7 linked regions of the Mus musculus genome follow. The protein of the gene in region 3 interacts with the protein of the main gene of each other region in a pairwise test. Links are inferred from orthologs where the notes say so. Each region holds a gene or a part of one and is shown on either strand. Other genes may lie near its edges. The genes, in order: Lztfl1, AU022252, Wdyhv1, Rpia, Apip, Ncoa5 and Prps2.

The links.
Region 1: the proteins of Wdyhv1 (region 3) and Lztfl1 interact in binary tests that used the Homo sapiens proteins (3 or more experiments, as listed by UniProt). The two-hybrid records come from large-scale screens. The link is inferred for Mus musculus from reciprocal best matches to the Homo sapiens genes NTAQ1 and LZTFL1.
Region 2: the proteins of Wdyhv1 (region 3) and AU022252 interact in binary tests that used the Homo sapiens proteins (3 or more experiments, as listed by UniProt). The two-hybrid records come from large-scale screens. The link is inferred for Mus musculus from reciprocal best matches to the Homo sapiens genes NTAQ1 and C1orf50.
Region 4: the proteins of Wdyhv1 (region 3) and Rpia interact in binary tests that used the Homo sapiens proteins (3 or more experiments, as listed by UniProt). The two-hybrid records come from large-scale screens. The link is inferred for Mus musculus from reciprocal best matches to the Homo sapiens genes NTAQ1 and RPIA.
Region 5: the proteins of Wdyhv1 (region 3) and Apip interact in binary tests that used the Homo sapiens proteins (3 or more experiments, as listed by UniProt). The two-hybrid records come from large-scale screens. The link is inferred for Mus musculus from reciprocal best matches to the Homo sapiens genes NTAQ1 and APIP.
Region 6: the proteins of Wdyhv1 (region 3) and Ncoa5 interact in a two-hybrid assay, tested with the Homo sapiens proteins (3 studies listed by BioGRID and IntAct). The two-hybrid records come from large-scale screens. The link is inferred for Mus musculus from reciprocal best matches to the Homo sapiens genes NTAQ1 and NCOA5.
Region 7: the proteins of Wdyhv1 (region 3) and Prps2 interact in binary tests that used the Homo sapiens proteins (3 or more experiments, as listed by UniProt). The two-hybrid records come from large-scale screens. The link is inferred for Mus musculus from reciprocal best matches to the Homo sapiens genes NTAQ1 and PRPS2.

Annotation. Positions count from the first base shown.
Region 1 is NC_000075.6:123,711,126-123,714,625, reverse strand, and holds part of Lztfl1 (leucine zipper transcription factor-like protein 1), read left to right. Parts: intron 1-2,001; coding exon 2,002-2,196; intron 2,197-3,500. UniProt on the Homo sapiens protein: Regulates ciliary localization of the BBSome complex. Together with the BBSome complex, controls SMO ciliary trafficking and contributes to the sonic hedgehog (SHH) pathway regulation. May play a role in neurite outgrowth. May have tumor suppressor function.
Region 2 is NC_000070.6:119,229,925-119,233,994, forward strand, and holds the start of AU022252 (uncharacterized protein C1orf50 homolog), read right to left. Parts: upstream 2,801-4,070; 5' UTR 2,738-2,800; coding exon 2,659-2,737; intron 2,546-2,658; coding exon 2,430-2,545; intron 1-2,429. Other genes in the region: P3h1 (prolyl 3-hydroxylase 1 isoform 1 precursor), read left to right, coding at 3,033-3,506.
Region 3 is NC_000081.6:58,140,085-58,144,165, reverse strand, and holds the start of Wdyhv1 (protein N-terminal glutamine amidohydrolase), read right to left. Parts: upstream 2,801-4,081; 5' UTR 2,674-2,800; coding exon 2,585-2,673; intron 959-2,584; exon of another isoform or gene 897-958; intron 1-896. UniProt on the Homo sapiens protein: Mediates the side-chain deamidation of N-terminal glutamine residues to glutamate, an important step in N-end rule pathway of protein degradation.
Region 4 is NC_000072.6:70,771,676-70,775,175, forward strand, and holds part of Rpia (ribose-5-phosphate isomerase), read right to left. Parts: intron 3,499-3,500; coding exon 3,434-3,498; intron 2,645-3,433; coding exon 2,576-2,644; intron 1,897-2,575; coding exon 1,755-1,896; intron 1-1,754. UniProt on the Homo sapiens protein: Catalyzes the reversible conversion of ribose-5-phosphate to ribulose 5-phosphate and participates in the first step of the non-oxidative branch of the pentose phosphate pathway.
Region 5 is NC_000068.7:103,072,274-103,076,474, reverse strand, and holds the start of Apip (methylthioribulose-1-phosphate dehydratase), read right to left. Parts: upstream 2,801-4,201; 5' UTR 2,688-2,800; coding exon 2,634-2,687; intron 1-2,633. Other genes in the region: Pdhx (pyruvate dehydrogenase protein X component, mitochondrial), read left to right, coding at 3,026-3,185. UniProt on the Homo sapiens protein: Catalyzes the dehydration of methylthioribulose-1-phosphate (MTRu-1-P) into 2,3-diketo-5-methylthiopentyl-1-phosphate (DK-MTP-1-P).
Region 6 is NC_000068.7:164,999,857-165,003,779, reverse strand, and holds the end of Ncoa5 (nuclear receptor coactivator 5), read left to right. Parts: intron 1-820; coding exon 821-1,141; coding exon of another isoform or gene 1,142-1,164; intron 1,165-1,608; coding exon 1,609-2,198; 3' UTR 2,199-3,423; downstream 3,424-3,923. UniProt on the Homo sapiens protein: Nuclear receptor coregulator that can have both coactivator and corepressor functions.
Region 7 is NC_000086.7:167,379,792-167,383,993, forward strand, and holds the start of Prps2 (ribose-phosphate pyrophosphokinase 2), read right to left. Parts: upstream 2,801-4,202; coding exon 2,679-2,800; intron 1-2,678. UniProt on the Homo sapiens protein: Catalyzes the synthesis of phosphoribosylpyrophosphate (PRPP) that is essential for nucleotide synthesis.

The sequences.
Region 1 (3,500 bases), on a different chromosome or scaffold from region 3:
GCTGCTGTATCCTGCTTTATCAAATATTCAACCAAGATTTAATTGTTGCTATAAAAATAAGCACATTCATCTCATTATATGAAAAATTAGCTTTCAGCCTTAGTAAATGGCAAATTATATGTATGCCAGAGAAGTGGTTTTAAACAATTTTTTTCTTCAATTTTTCAAAACAGGGTTCTCTTTAACAGCCATGACTGTCTTGGAACTCTATTTGTAGACCAGGCTAGCCTCAAACTCACAGAGATCTGCCTGCCTCCCCAAGTGCTAGGATTAAAGGTGTGTACTACAACACCTGGCTTGTTTTAAGAAAAATTTTTATGATTTTTTTAATTAGTAAATATCTCACCTGTATACTTACTTTATATACATGTATGTGTACCTAGTCATGTGAAAGTTTCTCAAGAAAGAAAGGATCCTAAGTGGATAAATTAAATTCTGATTAATGCTAATACAGAAACCACAGTGGTCACTGAGAGAAACTCCACTAAGTTCCATGGATTTGTGAAATTGAGACATAGTTGTGGGTGATAGTAACAGTCTGTTGTCAGGCATGCACATGGTAATCATTACATACTGGAAAGGTTCAGATAAAAATTGTGACGGGCTTAATTCTATAAAGTTCCATAACTTTAGTTTCTTAAGTGATTTCTTTAAAAAGTAGAGCCATATGACATGACAGTTATGAACTTATACTTTTCATATAGAGCAATTTGGAGAAGGAAAAACAACATAAAACATATACTTGGTAATACCAACATTGTTGGTTGACTTGAAACAAAAGTTGGTAAGTTTTGTTGAAACAACAATGGAAACTAGTTAAACGTTGAGTCACACGTAAGTAGCAAAGGTCTTCAGGATGTCTCTAGCTGTTGTGGAGGTCATCAGCCTTGTACTAGTGTCTGTTCAACCAATTACCTAATCTGGTTTATTAAACCCAATGGATGAAAGCAATGGAACTGGCAAAAATATGGTGAGGTCTATTAAAGAATATAGAAAACATTAACATTTTAATAAAGACTCTAAAATTAAAGTGTTTTTAAGAATGATTAAATTTTTCTAGTTTAACAATGTTAAAGAATTATATGTTAAATACTACTTAGTGAAATGTAACTGTGCTAAAAGTGTTTTCTATTAATTTGAATATGATTATGCCAAGATGTTTGATTTTTGTCTGTTTGGAAGAAAGAAAGAAGAGAAGGTGAGGCTAAGGGTCTGAGGGTGAGAGACTTTAGAGGGGCAAAGCTGGAAGAAACAAAACTCTGTTAGTGTGATACTGTCATTGAGAGTAGGAGGTGTGCACAGGATTTGTTAAGGACTCCACCTGTTGGTCATGTTACTGAAATTGCTGGAGCTAGTAACCCACAGTGGAACCACAGGCAAATCTCTTCCATGCTCCAAGCCCTCTGTACAGTTAGGGATTGAAGACAATGGCTCATCTCCCGAGATTCCTTTCTAACCCAAGTAGCTCCGGTAAGAGTAGATTTGAATGCTGCTGTTGATTAGATATTCATTTCTGTGATTCATAGTGGTACTTTAAAAATGTTAATTTGTGTGTGTGTGTGTGTGTGTGTGTATGTCTAGACTGCTAAGAAAGTTAATATATAACTGCAGTGTTTGTCTCATAGGCATACTAATATTTAAGTAATTCATATGATCATTAAAATGTTAGAGAAGTAACAGAAAGTGGGGGAGTTAAGTGTGACTTTTTAAGTTACTAAATATAATAAGGCTAACTTAGAGGAGTATAAAGTAAAAAAAAATAATATTGTAAAGTTAAAAAAGAATAGGTAAAGGTTTAGGGGATATTTTTCAATATGTAGTTATATTTTAAAATGAACACATTTGAACAATTACTCACATCTAATCATTTTAATCTCTCCCAGAGAGTTTTTCTTGCAATCTTTAATTCTTTAAATGTCATGATGTCGGTCTCTTGACTTCAGTTACATTTTGTAAGTTGCTCCTGTGACTAACGAGCCAATGGTGTCATACTGTTTTCAGGCTGGTGGAGGAGACTTTCACCATTGATGAGGTTTCAGAAGTCCTAAATGGGCTGCAGGCTGTGGTACACAGTGAGGTGGAGTCCGAGCTCATCAATACAGCTTACACCAATGTCCTGCTCCTACGGCAGCTGTTCTCCCAAGCTGAGAAGTGGTATCTAAAGCTACAGACAGACATCTCTGAACTTGAAAACAGGTAAAATTTGTACTTGCAGTTGAGGCCCAACTATGATCTCAAAAGTTAGTGATTACTTTGCTAGTACTTTCCTGGGCTGGGGTGTGCGACACTGGGTAAGGTAACAGCAAGGCACAGTCACTAGATGATTCCTTCCTTGAGGAGCACTCAAAGGCCTCTTAAAGACACTCTGTTTCTACTATCAGTTCCAACTACATGAAACTGCTTTTCAATCTAAAGTACCTATTCCTTAGAGCATCTTTAGTAACATGGTTAATATTACAGTGGTCTTGATTCATTGATCTGCTAAGAAGTAAAGATTAGAACAGTTGAAGATATACTAGAGAATAATTTCCATCTATTCAGCCTAATAGCATTGCAAATTTGTTTCTACATAACTACATTTGAAACCATACACTTAACTTAGGAAATGTAAACTATAAAAGGCTTAAAAATCTTACAGTATTGAAAAGCTCATAAATTCAAAACCTCTAGTAAGATCAATGAAGTTGAAGCTGGTTCTAAGAAATAACATGCCACTTGGACATCATGGTTCACACATACAGTTTCAATTCTTAAGACTGCTTGTGTTATACAGTAAGACCCTGTCTCAAAAATAAATAAATAAACAAACAAATAAATAAATAAATAATTGCCAGAAGTCAAGAAGGACTCGCTGCTAAGCCCTGGAAATTGTTCTCTGAACAGTTTCTCCTCAAGTGGAAAATGATGAGCAGTGCTAAGTACAGTCTTCCAGGAGGGAAGGAAGTTCGTTTGGCTTCTGCAGCTGTCCATTTCTCAGTGGGTGACTGGTGAGAAAATACTGAGTGCTGATGTTTGAAGAAGATAGAAGAGTCGTCTGTACGTAGGAGTATAGTCCACATATCTATCTTGGTAGATTATCAGGGGCTTGCTCACAACACCAGCTTTCATGGAATATGCTAGCATTCTCTCTCAGTAGATACTGTGGACTAAGTCATATCCAAGAAAACTGTACTACAAATCAGACTCTTTCTTAGATGACAGTAAATGTTATGTAATAGGGAAATCACTGCTGTACCTCAGAAATAGAGGGAAATATAAATATCATTCATATAGGTATTAGCATTGCTGTTTATGTCTTACGACACGATATACATATCAAGTACAAAGTACCAAGACCTGTGAATGATTTAAATTGCTTTACAGGGCATGAGATTCTCACCCATTTGTAATCAAATAACAGTTTTGTACCCTCTTATGCTCATCTCCCTAACATGTAATAGGTTGGTTCTTGTAATTTTTTTTTTATTCTTTTATGTTCTAGAAGTCTATTCTCAATGAAT
Region 2 (4,070 bases), on a different chromosome or scaffold from region 3:
GTTGCCTTGGTCATAGTGCCTGTTCACAGTGGTAAAACCCTAACTAAGGCACCAGGCCTTCTCTAATCCCTTTTCCCTTTAAGGAAAGGTTAACCATGCAAACCAGAGCCTAACTAAAAAGAAAGGAAGGAAAGAATACATTTTTGAAAAGTTGTATTTATTGTATATGTATTCATATGTGTACCACACGTGTGCCTGGCATCTGAAAAAGTCAGAAGAGAGGGGTCATTGAGTCACCTGGAGCTACAGTTAGAAATGACTGTGAGCCACCAGGTAGGGTCTAGAAACCAAACCTGCATCCTCTGCAAGAGCAAGTTCTCTTAACCCCTGAGCCATCCGCCAGTCCCAAAGGGTACTCATAATTAGCAGGCACTGATCCTGGGCCCAAGCACTCCAAGAGCCTCTACATTAATAATGGCATCTAACTCTCCAGAAACGATAACCTTAGTTAGGTGTTAAGACTCACGTAGGCGTGGTGACCTAAGGTTTTATAATAAATGGCAATTGAAGGATCTGGACATAGTTAAACTTAATTCCAAAATCCATGTCTCGGTATCAAACCTCTGAAAGCTTTCTGACTGCACATTAAGGGAGTCAGGAGACGGTCCTCTCTGCAAGTGTATTTCAGTATGTAGACGGTGAATATGTTGATTTCATTAGTTTTCAAAGTTTTTGTGTGTATATAGGTGTTTGCCTGCATGTGTGTATGTGCATCGTGTCCAAGCAATGCCCAAAGGGGCATCTGATCCCCTGGAACTGGAGTTACAAACAGCTGTGAGTCTCAATGTGAGTTCTGGTACCTAAACCTGGGTCATCAACAAGAGCAGTGAGTGCTCTTAACCACTGGACCATTTCCCCAGCTCTCAATTTGTTTTTAAAGTATTTTCTTCTTCAGCTTCTCAAAGATGGATTATTCTGGAGAACTGGAGGCAACAGAATAATATATCCTTTATATGTCACCAGTATAAAAGACTAAAGCTGGGCTGGAGAGATTGCTCAGCAGTTCAGAGCACTGACTGCTCTTCCAGAGGTCCTGAGTTTAATTCCCAGCAACCACATGGTGGCTCATAACCATCTATAACAGGATCCAATGACTTCTCCTGGTGTCTCTGGCGAGAACGGCAGTGTACTCACATATATAAAATAAATAAATCTTAAAAAAAAAAAAAAAAAGCTGTGTTCTCTCTGTGGCTGAGTCCACTACCGTCACTCTGAAACTCAAAGTGTTGATTGCCCAAGATTTTGTCCCTAGCTACCTCCCTCCAATAGCAGCCTGATTAAACAAACACGTGATAGTCTTCTAAGCCTGTTTTTGAGCCCACCTCTCTTAAAAAAAAAAAAAAAGTAAAGTTTTAATTAAAAAGGTTTTTCTAAACATTTGAATTTTTCTTAAATACTACAACAGACATTTTTTGTGTGAGGGATTTTTGGCATGTCAATCATTAATTTTCTTGATCAAAACAAACTCTTGAACACGATAACTGCCAAATAAGCTAGTTTATACAAGAGAAAGAGAACACTAGAAGCTTTTAAAGCAGCCAGGCTCCGACACTGTAAAAGAGTCTTCAGGGGAAGTCTTGCTAAGAGAAGGAAACTGGAGTCCCACTTAGCCCTATGAGCCTCTCCACCTCAAAGATCTCATTTTACAGATCCAGAGCTCCAGAGAGAAACAATCAAAACCAATCTGTCAAAACTTCTACGGTCTTTTCCATTATTTTGCATATCTTCTTTATTTTACCTATTATGGAAACCGACGCCTAAGCTCTGGACATAGTAATACTGACTGTATCCACTGAAATTCACCATGTGTGACAGCGACCCTTGTAATACCCAGCCTTTGGGAGGCTGAATTCAAAGCCAACCTGGGCTATACAGCAAATGAAACTACCTCCAGTTTTATTGTGTGTGGTCTTTTTTTCAATAGGAATTTTACCCTGTGCCTTTTTGCATGCTGTTTTTGGTAGTGCTAAGAATCAAATTCAGGGCTAGGCAACAGTAAACTACAACCCCAGCAGTTTTTGTTTTATTTTGTTTTGTTTTTTTAAAAAGGAAAGAAAGAGCATATATTTAAGTTCCACAAGCTCCTGGGTAACAGATAAAGACCTTATGGGAAGCAGAATAAAATGTGACTATTTAAGAATTTGGTATAGAAGCCATACATTTAATCCCAGCATAGGGTTTTGGGGTTGGAGGGTGGGGGAGGAAGGTGGATCTGTCAGTTCGAGGCCAGCCTAGTCTATAATATAGAGAGTTCCATGACAGCCAGAGTTATGTAGAAAGGCCCTGTCTCAAAACAAACAACAACAGAGGAATTGGGATAGAGTGATCCTCTTCGTGTGAAATGGAATGGTAACTTCAGTACTGCCGAGTTCACAGGCTGTCCCGAGCCCAAAGAGGCAGGGTAAAGTACGGAGATGGCTATTCCTCACCTTCTGCACCTGCTCGGCGAGCGCCACGAGGTCTAAGGGGTCCCCGACCCGGTGGGTGTGGTAGGGGCTCACCAGAGCCAGGCCGCCGGGGGTCGGGGTGAGCTCCACCAGGGCTCCTGCGATACACACCCGAACACAGGCGTAAGTTGAAACCCTCAGCCTTCCGTGAGCCAGCAGGAAAGAGCCACCCGGCTGCGACCTCCTACCCAGGCAACTCAGTCCCACCTACCTCCAGGACCCGCCGCCTCCTTCACCCCCAGATTTCCCGTACCACTTTCGTACCGGCCGGGAACCCCGGGGTCCGCCATAACAGCACCTCGGTCCCACCACCCGCAGGGAGCTCAGTCTAAAGCGCAGGCGCACAACAGCTTGTGGGCGGGGTTTTCTCGTTCTCAGTCCATTGAGCTGTGCGCATGAGATTAGAGGCGGAGCCTCACGAAGAGTAAGTGTTTGGATTGGTTGAAAGCAAGAGGCGGTACAAGTTTCCTTGCCACGAGCTTCTGGACTTGGGGCGTGGCTCGTCTCTGGGCGTGGCTTCTGTGGGGGGCGGGACTCTGGAATGTGCCCCAGGCGAGCAGTCCCGTTAAGTGGAGGAGCAAGGCCATGGCGGTGAGCGAAAGGAGGCTGCTGGCAGCGATGCTAGCGGTCGCCGCCGCCGCCGCCTTACGGGTTGCGGCGGAGTCTGAGCCGGGATGGGACGTGGCAGCCCCTGACCTGCTTTACGCAGAGGGGACCGCGGCCTACTCGCGCGGGGACTGGCCCGGGGTGGTCCTGAACATGGAGCGGGCGCTGCGCTCGCGGGCGGCCCTGCGTGCCCTCCGCCTGCGCTGCCGCACACGCTGTGCCACCGAACTGCCGTGGGCACCGGACCTGGATCTCGGTCCGGACCCCAGCCTGAGCCAGGACCCGGGCGCCGCCGCCCTGCACGACCTGCGCTTCTTCGGAGCCGTGCTGCGCCGTGCCGCCTGCCTACGCCGCTGCCTCGGGCCGCCCTCTGCCCACTTGCTGAGTGAAGAACTGGACCTGGAGTTCAACAAGCGGAGCCCGTACAACTACCTGCAGGTCGCCTATTTCAAGGTGCGACTGGTCCGGAGCCCGGTGGCCGGGAGCGACCTGGGGAACTTGGGGAGCAGAGCAGGGATGAGACGGCAGGGAGGCAAGGGACCTCTTGGCTAGGGAGCTCTTGGCGGACTTTGGGAGCTTCACCCGGTTCTTATGGGCAGATGCTAACCCTAAAGGTCCAGCCAGTAGTGACAGCCCAAGCCAAGAAAAACCTGACCTTTTTCTTTTGGGAAGGCCTCCTAGAGGGAACCGAGGCGGCCGCTAGGGTCTCCCAGCAGTACTTCATTGCAAGTGTCCAAGTGCTTCTGCAACATCTTCCTTCCGGTTCGTTCTCCAATCATGCTTTCCCTGCTCCCTAATCCAACAGCAGCGCTCTTTCAGGACGTGGGATTGCCACGTCGCCAGCAGGGGCTGCCTGGCTCCGCCCTGTGGAGGACCCTCTAGCTAGTATTTTTGGGTTTTTTGTTTTTAAGAAAATGACTGTCTTTTGGGATGCCACAGCGATTTAAGGCCAAGTCAATAAGCGGGCTTGGAACGCCAGCCTTGTCTGCCCGTGATGACTGGTAACATATATTTCCA
Region 3 (4,081 bases):
TGCTTGCTTGTATAATTATGGACATTTTTTCACACTCCTCAGAGGAATGCCCTCCTCCCAGTTAACATCAATGACTCCATGAGAATCTGAGACAGCATGAGTCCAGAAAACGAAGGTGTGGCTAATGTCTCAGCAAAATGGTAAATACTGTGACCCTCAGGACAGCCCTTAAGGCTGTGGGAAAGAGCTCTAAATACATGAGTTTGAAAATATATAATTTCTCAACTATGCAAAAACATAAGGATGCAATATGAATTGTATAAGGAGTTTCACAGATCTAAATAGACAAGAGGCAGCTACTCTATATGACACAGATTTCTGAGTTCAAGCCTGGAACAGATCAAATTTAGGTCCAGGAGTGGTCAGAATGGTAATCTCCGGACAAGGTCCCAACTAGCTAAATTTACAAAAGCAGCCAGATCTCTGAATTCTTTTACAATGCTAAAAAAAGGGGGAGAAAATCTGCTTGTAGTCTCCTAAGAATTAAGGGCCTGGGGTCACAGGATTCATAGGATAATCAAAGGGGAACCTGGAGGTTGAGAACAGCTCTTCAAGAATTTTCTTTTTTCTTTCTTTCTTCCCGCCCTCCCCCACACCCTCCCAGGGTTTCTCTCAGTAGCCCTGGCTGTCCTGGAACTCTGTAGACCAGGCTGGCCTTGAACTCAGAAATCCGCCTGCCTCTGCCTCCCAAGTGCAGGGATCAAAGGCGTGCGCCACCAAGCCCGGCTAAGAATTTTTTTCTAACAGGATTTGGAACATGGTGGGACAATGTAAGGAGGGCGACCACAGCTCTTTCAGATCTTTTCTTAGCTCTTTTAGAATTTTCTCTAATAAGATTTACTGACACAGCTCTGTTAGCATGTCTCCTAGCAGCTAAACAGAAAAAGCTGGCAGAAGAGTGAACACAGCTCTTTTAGAATTTTTTTTCTGGCTTTCTGATTTTGATCAGAAAACCCAAGAATTACTTTTTGAGTATTTCTAACAGGATTTCTGACTTGGTCAGCAAACCCATGAGCTATCCAAAGAGCTTTTAGAACTTTTAATAGCAGAGAGAGCTGTCTTGAGCAGAAAGCTAGCTGTTTCAACCAAAAAGTTTTCAGAATAGCAAGAAAAAGCTGTCTCAAGCAGACACAGAGAGAGCAGTCTAGAAAGCCACATCAGCGGAACATAGACCACCAGCATGGACCAACAATTTGACTTCAAGTAGTTTTCACTGCTCCCAAACACCCCTTCTTTCAGAAACCCGGTCCCAGCTGAGGCCAGTCCTTGGCACTGCCAGGAAATTTATCTACCTTGTTTACTGCTCTATCCTCTGTGCATAGAATCAACCAACATACATTTCACATCCCTACGAAATATTTACTAAATAAATGGAAGACACAGAGTAAATGTTCCAGATAAAAACTAGCAGGATTTGGAAACCAGGCGGAGCAGATCTATAATGCAACAGCTAAAAAAGAAGGACTCCCAACCACCATGTAGACTCCAGATCTCATTCCACTTAGTTGTGTGGTCTGGGACAAACCACAACCATTCTATAGTTCAGCCTTTGTAGTGTCAATAATTACCACAGAACCTGTCTCCAAGACATCGCTCTACCACCCCCTGTTCTCAATCTGTGGGTCATGGCGTTGAATATCAGATATTTACACTACGATTCTTAACAGTAGCAAAATTAGTTGTGAAATAGCAACGAAGTTTTTACAGCTGTGGGTCACCACAACAAGAAGATCTGTATTAAAGGGTCACAGCCCTGGAAGATTGAGAACCAGGGCAAGCACTTGGACTTGAGCTAAAGTGGTCACTGGTCAGTCACAGCTGAATGCTAAGTTCTTAGAGTCCTTGTTTGAGTGACCAGCTAGAGTTGAGAGGAGTCTATTTAAATGATCCTGAGGTTTCTCCTGAGTTGGGATAGCAGTCCCTACACAAAAGGAAGATGAGGCCTAGGGACAAAAAAGGCAAGGTGAACGGTGTTTGCACAAGCAGCCTAGGACACTAACCTCACAATCCCGGGGCCTTGTGTAAAACAGCAGCACACCCTTCAGTACCTCAGAGTTCTTCCAAGCTGCAATCACACCAGTACCTACCTCTTGGGATTACTGTGAGGTTCAACTGAGTTAATTTACACCATGCACGCAAAACAATGCCTAGCATATGGCAAGGATGGTGCAAATGCAACCATTATCATATGGCCAGTAAGGTAATGCCAGTAAGGTAATCAGGGTAGCCAGTTGCCTGAACTGGATTTCCTACTACCACAAATTCTGTGTCTCCATTGTCTTTAAAATTATAAAGACGTATACTTCAACCTGAATCAATGCAGACTTCAACAGTTACCATTGGGTCTCCAGCCTAACTCCCCTCCCTCCCTTGTCCCTATGCACTAAGACGCCCCGACTTCACCCCACTGCTCAGGCTCAGCTAAGGAGACCAGAAATGCGTTCCCCACCCTCCTCATCCCGGCGCTAAACCCGGGCAGTGTAGGCCAGCAGCAGCACTCAGGGGAGCATCCAGGAGAGGGGCGCATTGGTGGCGGCGCGCGAAACCGCGCAGATTCCCGGGGTCCGCGCCCGCGCTCTCTCACCAATAGCAGCTGTTGTAGACACATGCGTCCCGCGTAGGACAGACCGGCTGGTACTGCGGGGCCGTGGCGGCGGGGCCGTCCCCCTCCATGACCCGAAGCTGTGGCTCACAGGTCAACTAAACAACCCGCTGGCCGCAATTGTCGCCAGTCTCCCAGGAGGAGAGGACAACAGAGTAGGCGGCCAGGACAGTTTCCGGGTGGGAGAGCCGAGAGCCGGGTGGGCGGGGCCCCGTGCAGCGTGAGGGCGGAGCCCGGGATGACGAAGCCTGCGTGGTTCCGGGTGGGCGGGGCCTGAGAGAATGAGTGGGATCTGAGGGGGGTGGGGGTGGGGCGAGGCTGGTGGAGAGGGGGCTGGGAATGCGAATCTTAGGATGACTTGAACTGTGTAGTTCTTGCCAGGTTTTGCGTGGTGGGTGGAGCCTGTGGCAGAGCGGGATGCACTTAGAGGCTTCCCTCTCGCCCCGCCCCCCCCACCACCCGGACCCCAAACCGAACCTGTTCTTGAGCTACGCTGCGTAGACCTAGTCGCCCTCCCATGGAGGGATTGCTTGTGTTGTTGCCAGTGTTTAGATATGAGCTTCCGGATACACTTAAAACTCCAGCTAAGGTTGCCCGCTGTGTGAAACCAGAAGAAACTCTAAACTAAGAGATGCTTGGGCACGCACGAAAGCTGAACCTTTAGAGCAGGAACTGAGAAAGAAAGGCGAACGGGGGGGGGGGGGGGGGGTGTTAGTGCAGTGCACCCAGATCTCACCATATTGTAATTTAATTTCTTCTCATCTGGATCTCTCTCCCTCTCCGTGTGTGTGTGTGTATTTTAAAGAAAAAAAGTTTTAACCAGGTGTGGTGACAGACACCTAAAGTCCTTGCATGCAGGAGACTGAAGCAGGAGGATTGCTTCTAATGCAAGGTGATCCTAGACTACAAAAGAATTTTTCTTTTAAAAAAAAAAAGATTTAAAGAGTCTGGATAGCATTTTGTGTTAATCATATTTATTTTCAAAAGAGAAGACACCAAATTGCTAAAACAGTGTTTATGCATAGTGAATTAAAGACATAGAGAACTGTCTCTATAGACATCCCAGTCTCCTGTGTGTGCCTTAAGTGCTCAGAGAACCTCCCTGCAAACGCTGGACTTCTTAAGATTAGATTATAGGCCACCCACAGACTCTCAGCCTTCTGAGACCCCAACCCCATAAAGTGCTGTGCTGGTGGTATTCTGGTGAACTTCAGCTGCTGTCCAAAACCCATAAATCCTACAAACTAAACATGTGTTTGTGTCTGTTACCAATTTATTGTTTCAGCTTGAATACTCCCTTCAACAGAGGCTGGGAGGCAGGGAGTGGCAGTCATGAAGCCTCTCTTGGTTAGTACAAAGTGAGTGTGAAGTTAAGCTTTCTCAGTAGAAGGATGGAAAGAGATTGCAAGGGAAAGAGGATCCCTGCAGTTTCTAGAAGGGACCAGAGCTAGTTGTGTGATCATCCTGCCCTCCAGTGGA
Region 4 (3,500 bases), on a different chromosome or scaffold from region 3:
AGGCCTGGTGGCGTCTGTCTCTAATCTCAGCACTTAGTAGGAGGCAGGGAGATCAGGAGCTCAAGGTCAACCTGGACTACATACTTCCAGGTAGCCTCCCTTCAAACAAAAATGGAAGGGAGGTGCTACGTAACCAGTTATCACAGCTGCTTTCTAAAGGGAAGTCAAGGAAGTATTGACACCAGGGTACAGTTATTGATTATTTATTTTCTCTAATACCCAAATTTTATTTCTAATAACTATATACACTTCGGTTTGAGGTCATTACATTTGGTTGTTTACTTAAGTGCAAAAGAAAAGTTCTTTGTAACTCACAGTCAGATGCTGAAGAGAAACATCTCCACAGGAGTATCATGTGCTCACACACACCCCCACCCATAGAGAATGCAGGTGATGTAGCTTAGTGGTAGAGTACTTGCCTAGTATTTCCAGAAGCCTTGACCCCAATTCCTTTTTTTTTAAAGATTTATTTATTTTATGTATATGAGTACACTGTACAACTGTAGTTGCTAAAATTGAATTTAGGACCTCTGCTCACTCCAGTTGGTCCTGCTCGCTCCGGCCCAAAGATTTATTATTATAAATAAGTACCCTGTAGCTAATTTCAGATGCACCAGAAGAGGTCGTCAGATCTCATTACGGGTGGTTGTGAGCCACCATGTGGTTGCTGGGATTTGAACTCAGGACCTTTGCAAAAGCAGTCAGTGCTCCTAACCACTAAGCCATCTCTCCAGTCCTTGAACCCAACTCCTAACACTGAAAAAAAAAGAGAGAGTGGGGCTATCTTGTACAGAAAGTTTCTGAAAAAAAATATCTTCCACTCGCCTTCTGTCCTTAGATTAACCAACTGGCACTTCATTGGCTTTGGAATTTAGTATAGACTGTTACTAATCCACAGGCAGAGTATCTTGGGCCATCTACACCTTTTGAAAGGTAAACCCTCTGAAATGTAGACACACTGTGTGTATGGTTCCCACCAACCAAAAGGCTAAGAACAATACCAGAGCTGGGGCAATGGTAGGGCTCACCTTTAATCCCAGGGGAGGCAGAGGCAGGCAGTTCTCTATAAATTTGAGGCCAGCCTGGTCTACAGAGCTAATTCCAGGACAGACAAGGCTACACAGAGAAACCCTGTCTCGGGGAGGGGAATGCTAGGACAGGGGTGAGGCCTTCACCATTTTTCTATGACCTGCCTACCTGGTGTTTACAATATATATGAAAAGCGTAATTTGTGGCCTTTGTTTTGTCTCTGTACATATTAAAAGATTGTTACCTCACTGGAATTTGGAATAACCTAAATCAATGTTCCCAGGCCAGAGTTATTCCTACTTGGCTCTAAACTAAAACTATCTCTTATCCTCTTTGAAATAAGAGTTGTACTCTTACATTGATAGCCTCAGAAAGGATGAAAAAAAGAAAAGAAAAATACCACACACACCACAGAACCTGAAAAACTTTCTGCCCCCTAGAACTTCCCAAAAGACAGTGTTTAGAGGCTGTTCACTGAGCAGTCCAGACCTCAAGTAACCCCGAGGGATGTCAGGAAAGAACCATGACTCCTTCTATGGGGGGAGATTAAGGGGTTGGACACAAGACACACACAGATACACACAGATACACACACACACACACACACACACACACACACACACACACACACACACACACACAAAGGTCTTAGGACCTAACTGACACAGAAAGCACTAGAGCAGCACACTGAGTCGGAGTGCTCAGAAACCTCCTTGGCCACTTACTGCCTTGTTGACAGCCATTCGAAGTTCCACCTCACCCCCAAACTTCTGGGCCACAGCCCGGCTCACTGGGACGTAGGCCATTGGGATGACTTCAATGGGAATCCCCTTGTGCCACCGATCCCCGAGGTTCTTTGAATCTTTCCTAGAAAAAATGTCAATCAAATTTAAGTAAGTTCAATACACAAAACCAAATTCAGGCAAGGGGTTAACGAGACAGCTGGAGGGGAAAGAGATCAGGACAGTACAGGGGCTTCAGAAACACGGGCTGCTTTACACTAAAGAGACTTGAATATCAAGGTAAAAATTATAAAATCTGCTCTGATGGTTGGCTGGCTAACTTAGGTTGCTCTTGCACTTATGGTATTTCCCGAGTGATACAAATGCAGGTATTTCTTCTAACATGCTCAGAACAGTGCCTCCTCTCTCAGGCTCCTTGAAAGAAAATCGGCCTGGTCAAAGACTGAGCATAACAGTCACGTGGAGAAGAGCCTGACCCCAGAGGAAGCAGGATGTGCTGAGTCACTACCTGTGAACCTCAGGGCTTGTCCTGAGGTTACCTGTGAAGACCTAATGAGTAACAACTCAGGCAGAGGAGCTCTGCCCACAGGGTGACACTGCTTCCTCCCTATCCCCAAACAGGAAGGCCCAGCTCCACGAAAGAGTGCTGGGTGCTACGGTAGTCAGCAGGAGTCACTGCCTGGAATCCTAGAGAGCAGGAAATCCTTCCTACATTCCTATACAGGCTCTCTCCTCTTCCATGGGGACCAAACTTGGGAACCCAGACACCTTCTCTGCTGGTAGGCAGAACCCTGGAACAGTACCTGAAATCAGCAATCACAATGAAACGACTTGCATAACCAGCCACGATCTTCTCCTGGGTCAGGCAGCCTCTGACAGGAAAGAGTAGGGTGAGATCATCTTCATTTGGGAAGTGGGATCAGACATGGGAGTCCCAAATGTATTCAATCCTGACACTTAAAGAGAAATGTGGCTTCGTTTCTAAAGAGCCATTCTCAATCCTATAGAGCTGCTTTCTAGTAGATGGAATACACAAGCATCTGCCTGTGTCTGGTAGAAGCCTAGAAAGTAGACAATGGTTCTATTCAGGCCAAGCACTTCCCCTCCAACAGGCATCTAAGCAGCACTGTGTTAGGGAGATGACTCTGACATGCCCTGAATAGATGACCGGTTTGGAGCACCTGCCCTGTGGACTGTGACAGCACAAGCCAGGGATACTGAATCTTCTGGCCTATGTCTACTGCTCTCTAGATAAATTACCTCACACCTGCAACAAGTATTACATAATACATTTAAAAAACTGAACACCCTGTCATTCTGATAAATGTTTCCAAATAAAGGGAGAGCACCCCTCAAGGAATTACGGACTTCAAAACTTTAACACATAAGGCACAGACCTAATAGTCTAAGCCAATAATGTGTTGTGTGTGTACACAGAACAGCATGACAAACCATCTCGATGAAAAGGCCCAGGTTACCTGTCAGCAGATAGACACTAATGGTCAGAAATGCTAGGCTGGATCAACAGCACATGGTATCAGGGTGCTGACAGGAAGAAAAACTCATGTGTATCAGGAACAATTGTTTACTCTGTACTCCATTTCGCTTCGCTAAGGGTTAGCTGACCGTCTCTTTAGCAACAAAGTCCCCACAACACTCACCCTCCACCCTTGATGAGATTGAGCTCAGCATCCACTTCGTCAGCACCATCGATGGCAAGGTCAATCT
Region 5 (4,201 bases), on a different chromosome or scaffold from region 3:
ATAGGTTCTCTTCTGCTAGGAAACAGAAACTGAGATCAGGAAAACAGAAAGGTAATAGCCTAAACAAGAGGAAGAACAAAGTATGTATGCATGTCTGAATGCCAGTAAGTATGATCTATCAACAACAGGAATTGCCAAGTGCTTGTTGTGGGTCAGGCACTACTGTTAAAGCTGTATGGACAACTTTACCTTATACCAGCCCTATCATACCAAAAGATTAACTTGTCTACCTGATAACTGACAGCAGGGCCAGGATTTGAACCCAGGCAATACGGCTATAAACCCCTACTCTTTTACTTTGAAATTATACTGTAGATGGAAAGAGTATTGAAGCTGCCTCTGCCTCCAGGTCCTAGTTGCTGGCAGATGCCCTGCAGTGACTGCTATAGTGAAATGACAAGCAGGCTGCTGTGATTCTATAGTCATAAAGGCACAAATGTTTTCCCTTTCCTCAGTCCAGGGACCCAGAGGCAAACTGACTACAAACACCTACGACTCATGAACTACATGGGCCTCCTATCTGTGTTTCTCAGAAACCTGCAAGAGGGGGAAGAATCCTGCTGTGTCTTCTGGAACTTACCTTTGTTCAAAATCCTTGCTGTGCTCTGTGTGTTGTTAATAACTTAATACTAATCTCTAACACATAGGGCAAACTGAGTCAGACCGAACCAAATCGAACTTTCGTCACTATAAATAGAACGCCATGATACATGAGGCAAAATTAAAAAAAATCAAAAGCCAGCAAACAAGCAAGCCTTCCCGGGTTTTCCCCCAAGGCATGGTTTTCTAAGGAACAAGAGACATGTTCTTGTAAGTTATACAATACCATATACCATATACCATATACCATATACCATATACCATAGCGCTCTGCTCAATAAACACTGGGTGCACTAAGACCGTATTTCTTACATTAAGAAAAGGCTAATATCAAACGGTTCAAACTGATATCTTGTGGACTGTGCTGGGTTGTTTTGTTCACTGTTGGGGAAGCCTTCCAATCAGGTAACACATAGTTAAGTCTTAAAGGATACATATACGTTAACAAAAAAAAAAAAAGTAGTAAGGGGTTCACGTTGGCTAGTTTTATGTCAACTGGGCACAAGCTGTGGTCATCTGAGAGGCAGAAACTTCGGTTGAAAAAAAATGCCTCCATGAGATGGGCTGAAGGCATGCCTATAGAGGAGTTTCACAGTGATTGATGAGGGAGGACTCTGCTCGTTGTAAGTGGTGCCACCCTGAACTGGTGGTCCTGAGTTCAGGCTGAGCAAGCCAGAGGGAGCAAGCCAGTAAGCAGCACCCCTCTATGCATCTGTATCAGTTCCTGCCTCCAGGTTCCTGCTCGCCTGTACTCCTGTCCGGACTTCCTTCTATGATGAGCAGTGAAGTAGAAGTAGAAGCAACATAAACCCTTTCCTCCCCAAGTTGCTTTCTTTGGTCATGGTGTTTCACCACAGCAATAGTGACCCCCCACCCCCCAACACAGACCAAAGTCGTTTATTTGATCTGCACAACACTTAGAACTCAAGCCAACATTTTTGAATCAGGAAATTTCACACAGAATATGACTTTCTAAGTGTCCCTCAAAAAAGCAGAATTTGACACTGCGTCTATACCTCCAAACAGCAAGAAGAGGCTAGAGACATGTAATGAGATCTCTAGTTGAGGTATATGGTGGTCCTAGAGTTTTCTTTGTGGTTTCCTCAAAATATGGGCCAATCTAAAATGCTAGGTATTCAAAAGTCTTTGACAAATCACCATCTGAAACCACCCACTTCTCCTTCTATACTTGAAAAACATCTTCAGCTTCTTTTTTGTATGTGGCTATTTTCTGTCTTGATAAATTCAATCACAGCTCTTGAATCACAGGTTATTTTGCTGATCTGGCACAACACTTAGTATGAAAAAAAAATCTGTATTTCTATGATGACCGTCACCAAGATTTACTAATAAGGGATGACAAACATGTCTGCTATCAATGCACCTTGATTCTGATACATTGCTTCTACTTTCCTCGTTCTCCATATATAGGGATGGCCACCAGGGACCTGTGTCCTATATGCAAAATCTCCCTTTCAGTCGTGCCTAATTTCAAGGTTTATAAAGAATTTGTGAAAAGCCACTTATTCCAAGACAATAATAGTTCAGATGCTCTGCATTAAATATTTCCTGTTTTATTTTAAATTGAGACCCCTTGGCTAGACGAAAGGTTAGTAAAGATATAATTTTGTGGACTTCCCCTGAGTCTTCTGCAGGGCTTATCAGTTAGTATCGAAGCTGTTTATTCTTCTAGTTCGCTAGTTCACCATTTTCTTAGCACTAGAAGGCATTTCATAAGCCTGCGTCCTGTTTAACTGAAAGAAAACCCATGTTGCCCCAGGGCCCATTTTCCTTAAAGAAGAATCATTTCCAAGAGCTCCCACCTCATAACGTCAAGTAAGATAGGCAAGGACAACTGCCCAAAAGAGTGCCCTTTGGGGTGCCTGACAATTCCGGTAGAGCAGTCCTACTAGCACAGAGGGGCCTCTGACTTTCGCGGACTGGGTTAGGAATTAGCCGCCTAGAGCTCCTGGCCGAAGCCCCACCCCGCGGCCCGTGACCCCACCTCGCCTGCTGTAGACCGCCGTCCTTACCTGCGCGCCACACGGCCGCGAGCAACAGTCTCCTTGAGCTTGACAGCCAGACATGGTTCTGACTCTGCTCCGTTATCTGTCCCGCGCTCGTTCCAAGTCTGAGCGGCCGGCAGAACGCTATTAGGCGACAGAGCGGGCAGCCTGGGGGCGGAGCAAGAGTGAGAGGCGGAGTCTGAGGGGGACCTCGTCCCTTTGGAGAATCTGCGGCGGCGCAAACCGGCCGGTGGGCGTGCCCGTGAAGGTTGGAGGCGGTGTTAGAAGGACTAGTCCTCCAGTCCAAGGCGGGGAGCGTGCGCTGTGGGCGGGGCCAGCCCATGCAAGGCGGGGCCTGGACGGGCCTTGAGGCCGCCAATCTAGTTGACTTGCGAGCTTTCCCGGAGAAAGCCGGGAAGATGGCGGCCTCCTGGAGGCTTCACTGTAACCAGCCGCTGCTTCGGTACCTTCTGGGATTTAGCAGCCGTCGAAGCCTGGGACTGGCTCAGGGTGCTGCTGCTTGGCCTGTCGACCGTGGAGCAAGTTGGAGGTGGTTTCACAGTACTCAGCTGCTGCAGGGTGAGTGGCTTGCGCTCGCTCCACTTCTCTCTTTAGCTGAGCAATGGGGCCTGGGTCAGGGGCTTTCTTGATTGGGGACACGGTTTGTGAGGTTAAGTGCGGACTCTTCCTGTTCCTTTCAACCTCCCCCAGAAACGGGCCTGCTGACTTAGCCTATGGCATGCGGCAAAAGAACTGTCTTCAGACTTGGGAGAGCATGGTTCCGTCCTTGGCCTGCCTTCAGGGCTACATGGCTTCTCTGTGACCTTGCTTTAGAATTTGAGAAATTTCGATGTCACCTAGGGAGGGTCTGTTTTAAATCCCTCTATTTTAGACCCTTATCAATCACATGTCAAATTTCTTTAATTTTACCATTCCTCTCTAATGTAATATAGCTGCCCATACATTCAAAGCCACTATTACCCATACTGATTCATTCAAAGGACCTGTCCCTATTGGAAAACTTTAAATCTTACTGCACTTAATGTATGCAGCATACAAGACTTAACTTAGAAAATACAGAATCACAGACATTGCTAGAATGTTTCAAGTAAAATATGTGGCATGAAATTCATACAGCCTATTACATAAAATTGTTCTTAAGCAGTGATATTGAACTCGGAGATATACCCACTGTCCTTCCGTTATTTAACATACAGCATATAAAATGGCAGACCTGGCATTATTCTTCCTTACGTGTATGAATATGGGCTGGGGGTTAGGATGGGGGCACAGAAAACAGTTTTAGAAACCATTAGACATTTAAGTAATCATTCTTACCACCACCTGGTACAGTAGGCCTAGCCCACACTTTCTGAGCTGTCTGAGGCCACAAAACAAAACAAAAAAAAAGAAAAAGAAAAACAATAAAATCCGTGTGCTGAGATTTCTAAAGAGGGGCTAATAGGGACAATTTACCTAAGTCATTTTTGGAGTAATGTTTAATAAATACTTCCTGGATATTGTCTTTAACTGTATAGTATATAATATTTTCTCTGCCTGGTCCTCATTTGTTAAAACTGAACTTGCCTACACTT
Region 6 (3,923 bases), on a different chromosome or scaffold from region 3:
CCTGTGTACACCTGGCTCTCAGTGAGGTCTGGCTTAGGCATCCGCTACCTGAAATGTGCTCCCAGGGATGAGGCTCTCACAGACAAGCTGCTGTCTGTCAGTGTGCTAGAGTAGTTAAACTGACAGGAGAGGCTCTGGTCCACTAGAGGAAGGCTCTTGGAGTGCTTTGAGCCCAAGCACTGAGACTCAGCCATCGGTGCCCTGACTGTGGCTTTTAAGCCTAACCCCTTTTCCACCTGCCTATGATCTCTGTTGACCAGGCGCTCACACCCATAGTCACAGGTTTGGTAGAATTGTCTCTGAGGAGCTGTCCTTAGCTTGTGTATAGATATTTATGTAAGGTTCCAAGAAGTGTCCTCAGTGTCCTGTTGCTCCATTAAGAAGAGGTGGTTATTTAGGGTTACAATTTAATCTTAGTCCATGACTTTTGAACTGATGAATTAAAAAGCTGTAGTGGCTCTGCCCTGAGCACAGCAGGGAGCCAGGCTTCACACAAGACTCTCCAGCCTCCTGCTGCGGTGTGGAGGCTGCCCAGCAGCTCCCCAAGTGGCCTATTTGACACTGTGGGAGGCTGTTGTGTTCCTTTGGTTTTTACCACAGGTCTGTGATCCACTGAAGAAATAGCTCTGTAGGAAGAAGGTGTGTCCCACACTGAAGAGCGAGCGATGCTCTGTCCCTCAGCCCACCCCACTCTAGGTTCAAGACTTGTTAACACTGCAGTGCTTCTCTGCTTTGAGGCTGAGAAAGGCTTGGCAAAGCACAGCAGTGGGCACTTGGATCTATCATGGGAGAAAATGACTGGTGTCATTCCCTCCTGTAGAGCATCGCAACATGCCCCAGGCAGATGCCATGGTGCTGGTGGCCAGAAATTACGAGCGCTACAAGAATGACTGTCGAGAAAAGGAACGTGAGGAGATTGCCCGACAGGCAGCCAAAATGGCTAATGACGCCATCCTCCAGGAAAGAGATCGTGGGGGCCCTGAAGAGGGAGGTCGTGGAGGGCACCCTCCAGCTATCCAGAGCCTCATCAACCTCCTGGCAGATAACAGATACCTCACTGCCGAGGAGACGGACAAGATCATCAACTACCTGCGCGAGCGGAAGGAGCGGCTCCTGAGGAGCAGCGCCGACTCTCTGCCTGGTGAGCTACGTGGCAGGGCCGAGGTGAAGTTCTCACTCTGCATTTCTCTCATCCCGTGCTCTGTTGGGAGGGTGGCATGCCCAGGGTTCTCTGGGGTGGGCAAGGGAAGTGAGCCATCCTTTGGCTTCTCCCACAATCCATGCACGCTGATGATGCTGTTATGATGATCTCCATTCATTGCTGAGCTCTGCTCCCTAGAGTTGGGCTGCTGGGGCTTAATCTATCTAGTATTGTTGGCGTCCTGGGAGCCATGATGGATACCCCTTGTTTATTTGTTTTGTTTGTTTTAAGCAATTCTGTTGGGCATTGGGCTGCTCTCTGGGAAGCAACCGCCCCTTTGGAATGTGATGTTACTGTCTGTACTGTATGATTGTTGTGGTGTGTGATTGCTGTTCTTCTTGTGGCTGCTAGGCCTCCTGCCCTTAGGGGGCACTCTCAACCAGATGCCTCCCTCTTCTGTCTTCCAGGCCCGATTTCCCGCCAGCCACTCGGGGCGGCCTCGGGTTCCTCGCTGAAGTCACAACCAAGTTCACAACCGCTTCAGAGCGGCCAAGTGCTCCCTTCTGCTACACCCACTCCAGCCGCACCCCCCACCTCCCAGCAAGAGCTTCAGGCCAAAATCCTCAGCCTCTTCAATAGTGGCGCGGTTGCGGCCAACAGCAGCTCTGCATCCCCCTCAGTGGCTACCGGAAGCTCCCAGAACCAGAATTTTTCCACAGCAGCAAACAGCCAGCCTCAGCAAAGACCGCAGGCCTCAGGAAATCAGCCTCCAAACATTGTGGGACAGGCAGGGTCTGCTCGGAACATGGGCCCTAGGCCTGGGGCTCCTTCCCAAGGGCTCTTTGGTCAGCCTTCCAGTCGCCTGGCACCCGCCAGCACCATGGCTAGCCAGAGGCCTGTATCTTCCACAGGTATTAACTTTGACAATCCAAGTGTACAAAAGGCTCTGGACACCCTGATTCAGAGTGGCCCTGCCCTTTCCCACCTGGTTAGCCAAACTGCAGCACAGGTGGGGCGGCCCCAGGCCCCCATGGGATCTTACCAGAGGCATTACTGAGGCTCTACTGGTCTACTGTTCCTAGCCCCACCCTTCCCTGGCCCCTCCTACTTCATCCTAAGTAGAGTTGTTTGGAAGTGTTCGAAACACTTTCCAGGTCAACATCAAATATCCTAAGTTTCTCTCACCACTCCTTCCTGCGGCTGTTGCTTATCACTTATCAGAATCAGAACTTAGACTGCATTCGGGGCTGGATCTTTTGTTTGGGTAGAAGATAAGTGTTCTGGGATCTGGGCTCAGCTTCTGTCTGGGATCGCTCTGGCACCTGCCTGGCAGATTTGGAGGAACAGGAAGAAGCCAAGCGCAGCTGCCCTATGGGAACACCATTTCTGGAGGCAGTGGTCATAGCCTTAGTTTTCACCTCCACAGCAGCCAGAGCTGCGTCCTGCCTGGCTCCCAGTGAAGCCAGGTGGTCTTGGCAGACAGTGTCATCATTGTTCCATCAGAGAATAGAACTCCAAGGACTCAAGAGTGATTTCTCTGGACTGTGAAGTGCCATGTGGCAGCCAGAGAAGAGAGGACTCTTGTGACTGCATCAGAGTGGTCCCTTGAAGTTGGTTTGGTTTCGTATTTTTTATTTTCCTGGAGGGTCTGCAGACAAGTGAGCAGCTCTCTTGGCACTTTGACATGAACTGTGACTCTGGGGCCCACTGCTCTCCACAGCGTTAGCTGCACCTTTCTCTCCGGCTGCACCTCATGCAGTCAGCACTGGGGGCAGCTCCAGGCTCTGGAGCTGGACACCTTGGTGGTCCGTGATTTCTTTTGAGCCCCAGGCTTTTGTTTTCATTCAGACTCTTGTTCTGTTTTCTGATGAGCAGGAGACGGGGACCACTTGATGGTAGACTGTGGTAGTTGGGTATGTTCTCATACAGAAGAGCATTCGTGTAACTTCTGAGACAGGGTGATGTTTAGAGAAGGGCTCTGGCTGCTGCCCTGAATGGAGCCAGAGGAAGAAGCGCCTTTTCCTTTGGGAAAGGCTGCTCATTAAATGAAGTGAGGATCAGGTCAGGGGAGGGTCAGGCCTGGCTGGGCGGCAAGAGTGCTAACTCCAGTCCAGTCCCTGCCAGAGGCTGAGCAAACCAGTTTCAAAAGCTAAGTCCCCAAATGGCAGCAGTTTATGTTCTGATCTGTTTGTGTTATACGGTGGGTCCCCCTCCCCCTTTGGAACTCTTGTGTTGTTGATAAAATGAAATAATTACTTTTTAATTAAAATGAAAAAGTCAGACCTGTGCTAATCTTTCTTGGGTGTGTCTGCAGCAGCACCTCTGCTGAGCACTTTCCCCAAGAGCAGAGTCTCTGTGCCCAGCCTAAACTCGCTGTGCTGCCCGCCAGTGAGAAGTGTTGATAGGAATGCCTACAGCAGACTCACGCTCTGTGCCTGCTGCTAGAGTCGGTGTATTGCAGGTGTCCAAGATAGGTTACGGGGAAGGAAGCCACTGTGAGGAAGAGCCTCTCTGGGCCATGGCTGTCATTCCTCTTTTGCCTTCATGCCTGTTGCTGCCCATTGTGCAGGAGTTTGGCATAATCTATAGTCAGAACATGGAGGCCTTGAAGAGCCTTTAATCTACTTGGCATGACTGTCCTGACCCTCCTCTCAAGAAGAGAGTTGCTGCCTCCCAGAGGGTACCATGTGACTTGACACCTAGGAAGCACCTCCTACCTCAGGCACAGGGCCCCAAAGCTGGTGTGCTCACTTCTGTAAGCAGAGGAGAGTTTCCCACCTAA
Region 7 (4,202 bases), on a different chromosome or scaffold from region 3:
ATTAACCTTTTAAAATGTTCTATGGGATAGAACATAAAATGTAGCAAGGAGTAGCAAGGTATCCTGGGACATGTACTCTATGATCCGCGCATGGGAGGTGAGGGCAGGAGGAACATGAAATCAAGGGCAGACTTAGTGACACAGTGAACTCCAGACCAGCCTAGACCTCATGAGAACTTGACTCAAAGAAAGGGAAAGCAAATCCACTACACCAGATAGAACAGAACAAAACCTCAACCCATTCAACAGAAAGTAGAGCTGAGGGGTCTTCTCAAGCTTAGGCGTTGTCAGGATCAAAAGTGGTGAAAAGATAACCCAAACTAAAGACAAGGCTTCTTTCTATTTAAATAAATGTACGAACAATCCCGCCTGAACATCTGAGTAAGTTTCCCCTATCAGCTGATACAGGACTTAGAGTAGTAAACCCTTACTCAGCCAGATCATGGAGATTAGCCAGGCCTTGCAGCATTGTGCTGCACTGAGATTACAAAGAAGGGTTGCTTCACTTACACTTTCAAAACCCACTCCCTCCAGAGCCAGCTCCTTTATTTACATGATAACACCTTCTAAACAAAGAGGCTTATTCTAGTTGTTCCCCCAGAGCCGCTGAAACTTGGACAAGGACTAACAAAATCTTGCTATGTCCAAACCTAGCTCCATCCTTCTCCAAAGTCCTAGAGCACCCTCCATTTATTGAAGTCTACAAAGGGCGCTGGGGATGGAGCTCAGTGGTTGAATCTTCTTGTTGCCTAGCATACACAAAGACCTGGAATACATCCTCTGTACTAGAAAAAAAAAATAGACATGGTCTCATGTAGCCAAAGATGCTCTTGAATTCCCACTTCTCTGGCTTCTTCTACCCAAGGGCTGAGAACGTAGTGTGTGCCAGCATATCCTGATCTGATGCTGCACAGGGGCTTCATGCAAACTCCTGCAAGCAACTCTACCAACTGAACTACATTCCCCAACCCCAGAGTGGCATTCTTTTGTTGTTGTTGTTGTTTTTAACTTATGAAAATAAATTTTTCACTGTTCTTAATTCAATGTCACAGTTCATTTCATTGTTGTTTTCTTGTTGCCGACTCCTGGAAGGTTTGGATTACTTCCTTTTGTTCCCCCATTAATTAATTTATTTTAGGGGGTGGCTTGGAGGAGGGGGGACTTCAATCAGGATGTAATGTCAATAAGTAAACAAAGTGGCAGTTCTTTCACCTGAATTGTCCACAGGTTTCTTCTATTATCACCCAAGCTGTGTAAATGGAGTTTACCACCTAGAAAAGGTCACACGGGATTCACATAACCTCTAGAAAAAAATCATCTTTGTCATCAATATTAATCTAACTGGGTCTGATGACACACACACCCGAAATTCTAATGCTTGGGAGGTAGAAACAAGGGTTCTCCTGTGAGTTCGAAGCCTACCTGGACTACTACCTGGGTGAGTTCAATACCAGCCTAAATACATAGCAAAAGTCTGTCCCAGAAAACGAAAACCAAACCAAAATAAAACAACCAAAAGGAAAAAAAATGCCCTTAATCTCACAACCAAATTCTCGATTCATTCCATCATCAAGATTTTGTGCTTCCTTCTGGAAATTTCAGTTTTAGTTTTGACGTTTGTGTCTACAATCCGTTTCTAAGTTAACTTTTGTAAATACGGAGAATGACTTTTTTTTTTTCTGTAAAACTTGCGGAATGAATTCGTGCGCTACTAAATATAGAACGGTTATCTGTCACTGTGCACTGTATAGTTGGTTAACTGTGCTAAATAGAATTCGGGAAAAGAAATTGGCTTTGGGCAAGTAGGACAAGGAATCCCTAGTCTAAGCTGAGGAGAGCTTCCGCCTGCCTGGTGGCACCTTTTGCTAATGTGAGAAACCGGTGGAATTTTGAACAAACTGGGGTCTTGTTGCTGTGCGCAGCTAAGCTCCACAAACACAAAGAAGCTATTCGCAATGATAGATGCAACAAAGTTTAAAGGAAGGGTGCGAGCGCTCAACACGTGCGTCTCGCTTTCCCACGCTCTGCCTAACTCCCGCACAAACCCACCTTTCTGGATAAGGCAGCGCTTGGCCAGCCTGCTGCTCTGGAGAGTCACCTGAGCAGCTGGCAGTACTCTGATCGCCAGCGGCTGGAAGTGGCATTCGAAAGTTTCCCTGGGATAAACCCAGTGCCCAGGACCCGTGCAGAGCCTTTTCAACCATGCAGGATTCTGGGTTTCTGTCTGGCAGAGAGTTGGAAACTGGGGCGGGCGGATCCACCGATGTCTCCCCGCCCCCACCATTCCCGGCACCGAAGTGATGCCCACAGACTGCGCCCACTCTCCCAGACGCTCTGTAACTGCCCCGATTTTGTCCTTCCGGACTGAAGACACCAGGCGAGCCGGTGCAAAAGAGGGGCCTGGGGTGCCCAAGGGTCGACAGGTCGCCGATGTCCGGGTATTGGAGGCCCAGCCACCAGAAGGTTAACAGCCAGAGGATACGCGTAGAGACTCCAGGGTGACCCGGGTTGGGGGTGGGGGTTGGGGGTCCCTTGCTGAACTTCTTTCTCCCCTGGCGCAGCCGCCCTGGCTCTGCAGCCGCGTTGTTGCCGTCCCGCCCCGGAAGGGAGAGCATGACGCCCGCGGAGCTGGCCTGGGCATGCTTTGGCCCCTGCCTCAGCCCCAGCGAGGCTCCCACCTGGTCTCCTGGTTGCTAAACTTCTTGGTGACCACCTTGCCCAGCTCCAGGCCCAGGCGATCGGCCACGCGCTGCGACAGGTCCTGGTGAGAACTGCCGCTGAAGAGCACGATGTTAGGCATGGTGACCGGGGACTGAGGAGCGCGCTGGAGAAGGAGAAAGGGACTGCGATGCAGACTACTGCTACCGTTGCTGCGGCTGTTGCTGCTGCTGCTGCGGTGGCCTGGGCTGCTGGTGAAGCGGGAAAACGCAGCAGCAGGATCTAGGGGAGGGGAGGGCCGGGGGAGGAGCCAGAGGGAGGAGGAGCAGCTGAAGAGTCGCTGGAGGGTGCTGGGAGGCTGCTTCTGCCCACGCAGGCTGGGCATCTGGGTTTGAAGCTCTGGGTGGTCCCGAAGCACCCAAGTACAGTTGCTCCGTAGGGGAGCTCCAGGCTCCACATAGGACTTCCTGACTTGCCTTTAAATGGGGAGGTCAACCAACCAGATAAAGTGGGCACAGTGAGCCATTGCAGGAAAGGGCCATGTGGTGCCTCACAGCCAGGAGCAGCCTTTCAACCCGGAAGCTCAGAACCCAGAGGTGATACCTGGGCTTCAAGTGCACACCGTGTCTACATAGGCCAGACCCACACATCGGTTTGTATTTGCACACGGGAGTGAAGCATGTTTGCACTTGAAGTGGTGATATAGACTACGTTTGAAGATGGACTAAGAAAAGGGTTTCTCACCAACAAGAATTCTCTTTCTCTGTCATTTAATTTAGATGTATATTTTACAAAATTAGCTCAAATATTTTGTTTTCCAGTTTTTTCAACAAAAGCTGAAAATTTTGGTTTTTTTTTTTTTTCTTATTATATAAATGCCCACATTCTTTCTTGTCTTTTGCTTCTTGGTCCACAAAACCTGAACATGTTACCGTCTAGCTCCTAAATGTGTGTTGCTCTGTAAAGGAGTCATTGATGACAGCCACCATTTGACCCCTAAGCTTGGCCACAAGAGGAAAGCGTATTTTCAAGTGGTCAGTTGCCTCTCACCAATTCCTTCTGAGTCCTCGTTTTTATGTAGATAGGCTGGCTCTCAGGCTCTCTTCACAACTTCCTGTCCCTTGGATTCTCTAGAGTCAGACTCCCCCACCCCCCACCCCCACCCCTGCTGCGGCAACCAACCCCCCTCTCCCAGAGTCCTTTGCTTTCCCTGCCCTCAACCCCCACCTCAGCATTTCTGAAGTAGCTAATGCAGTGTCAGAGCCAATCGCCAATCGCTGGGCACAAAGCACACTTAAGGAAAGGAGATTCATCCTGAGCTCCTGGACGAGTGGAGCACTAGTGATCCTGACTTACATTTCTTAAAAGCTTTCAGAGACAGATTAACCTGGCCAGATAGTTGCTTGGGCTCTACCACTGTCTACTGAAATTTGGCTTGCCATATACAACAAAGACTACTTGCCCTTGAATTGTAGCCCACTCTAAAGGCACTTCTTGTGTGATTGGAGTTTGGGAGAGTATTTAGATTGACCGTATCTTTGGGG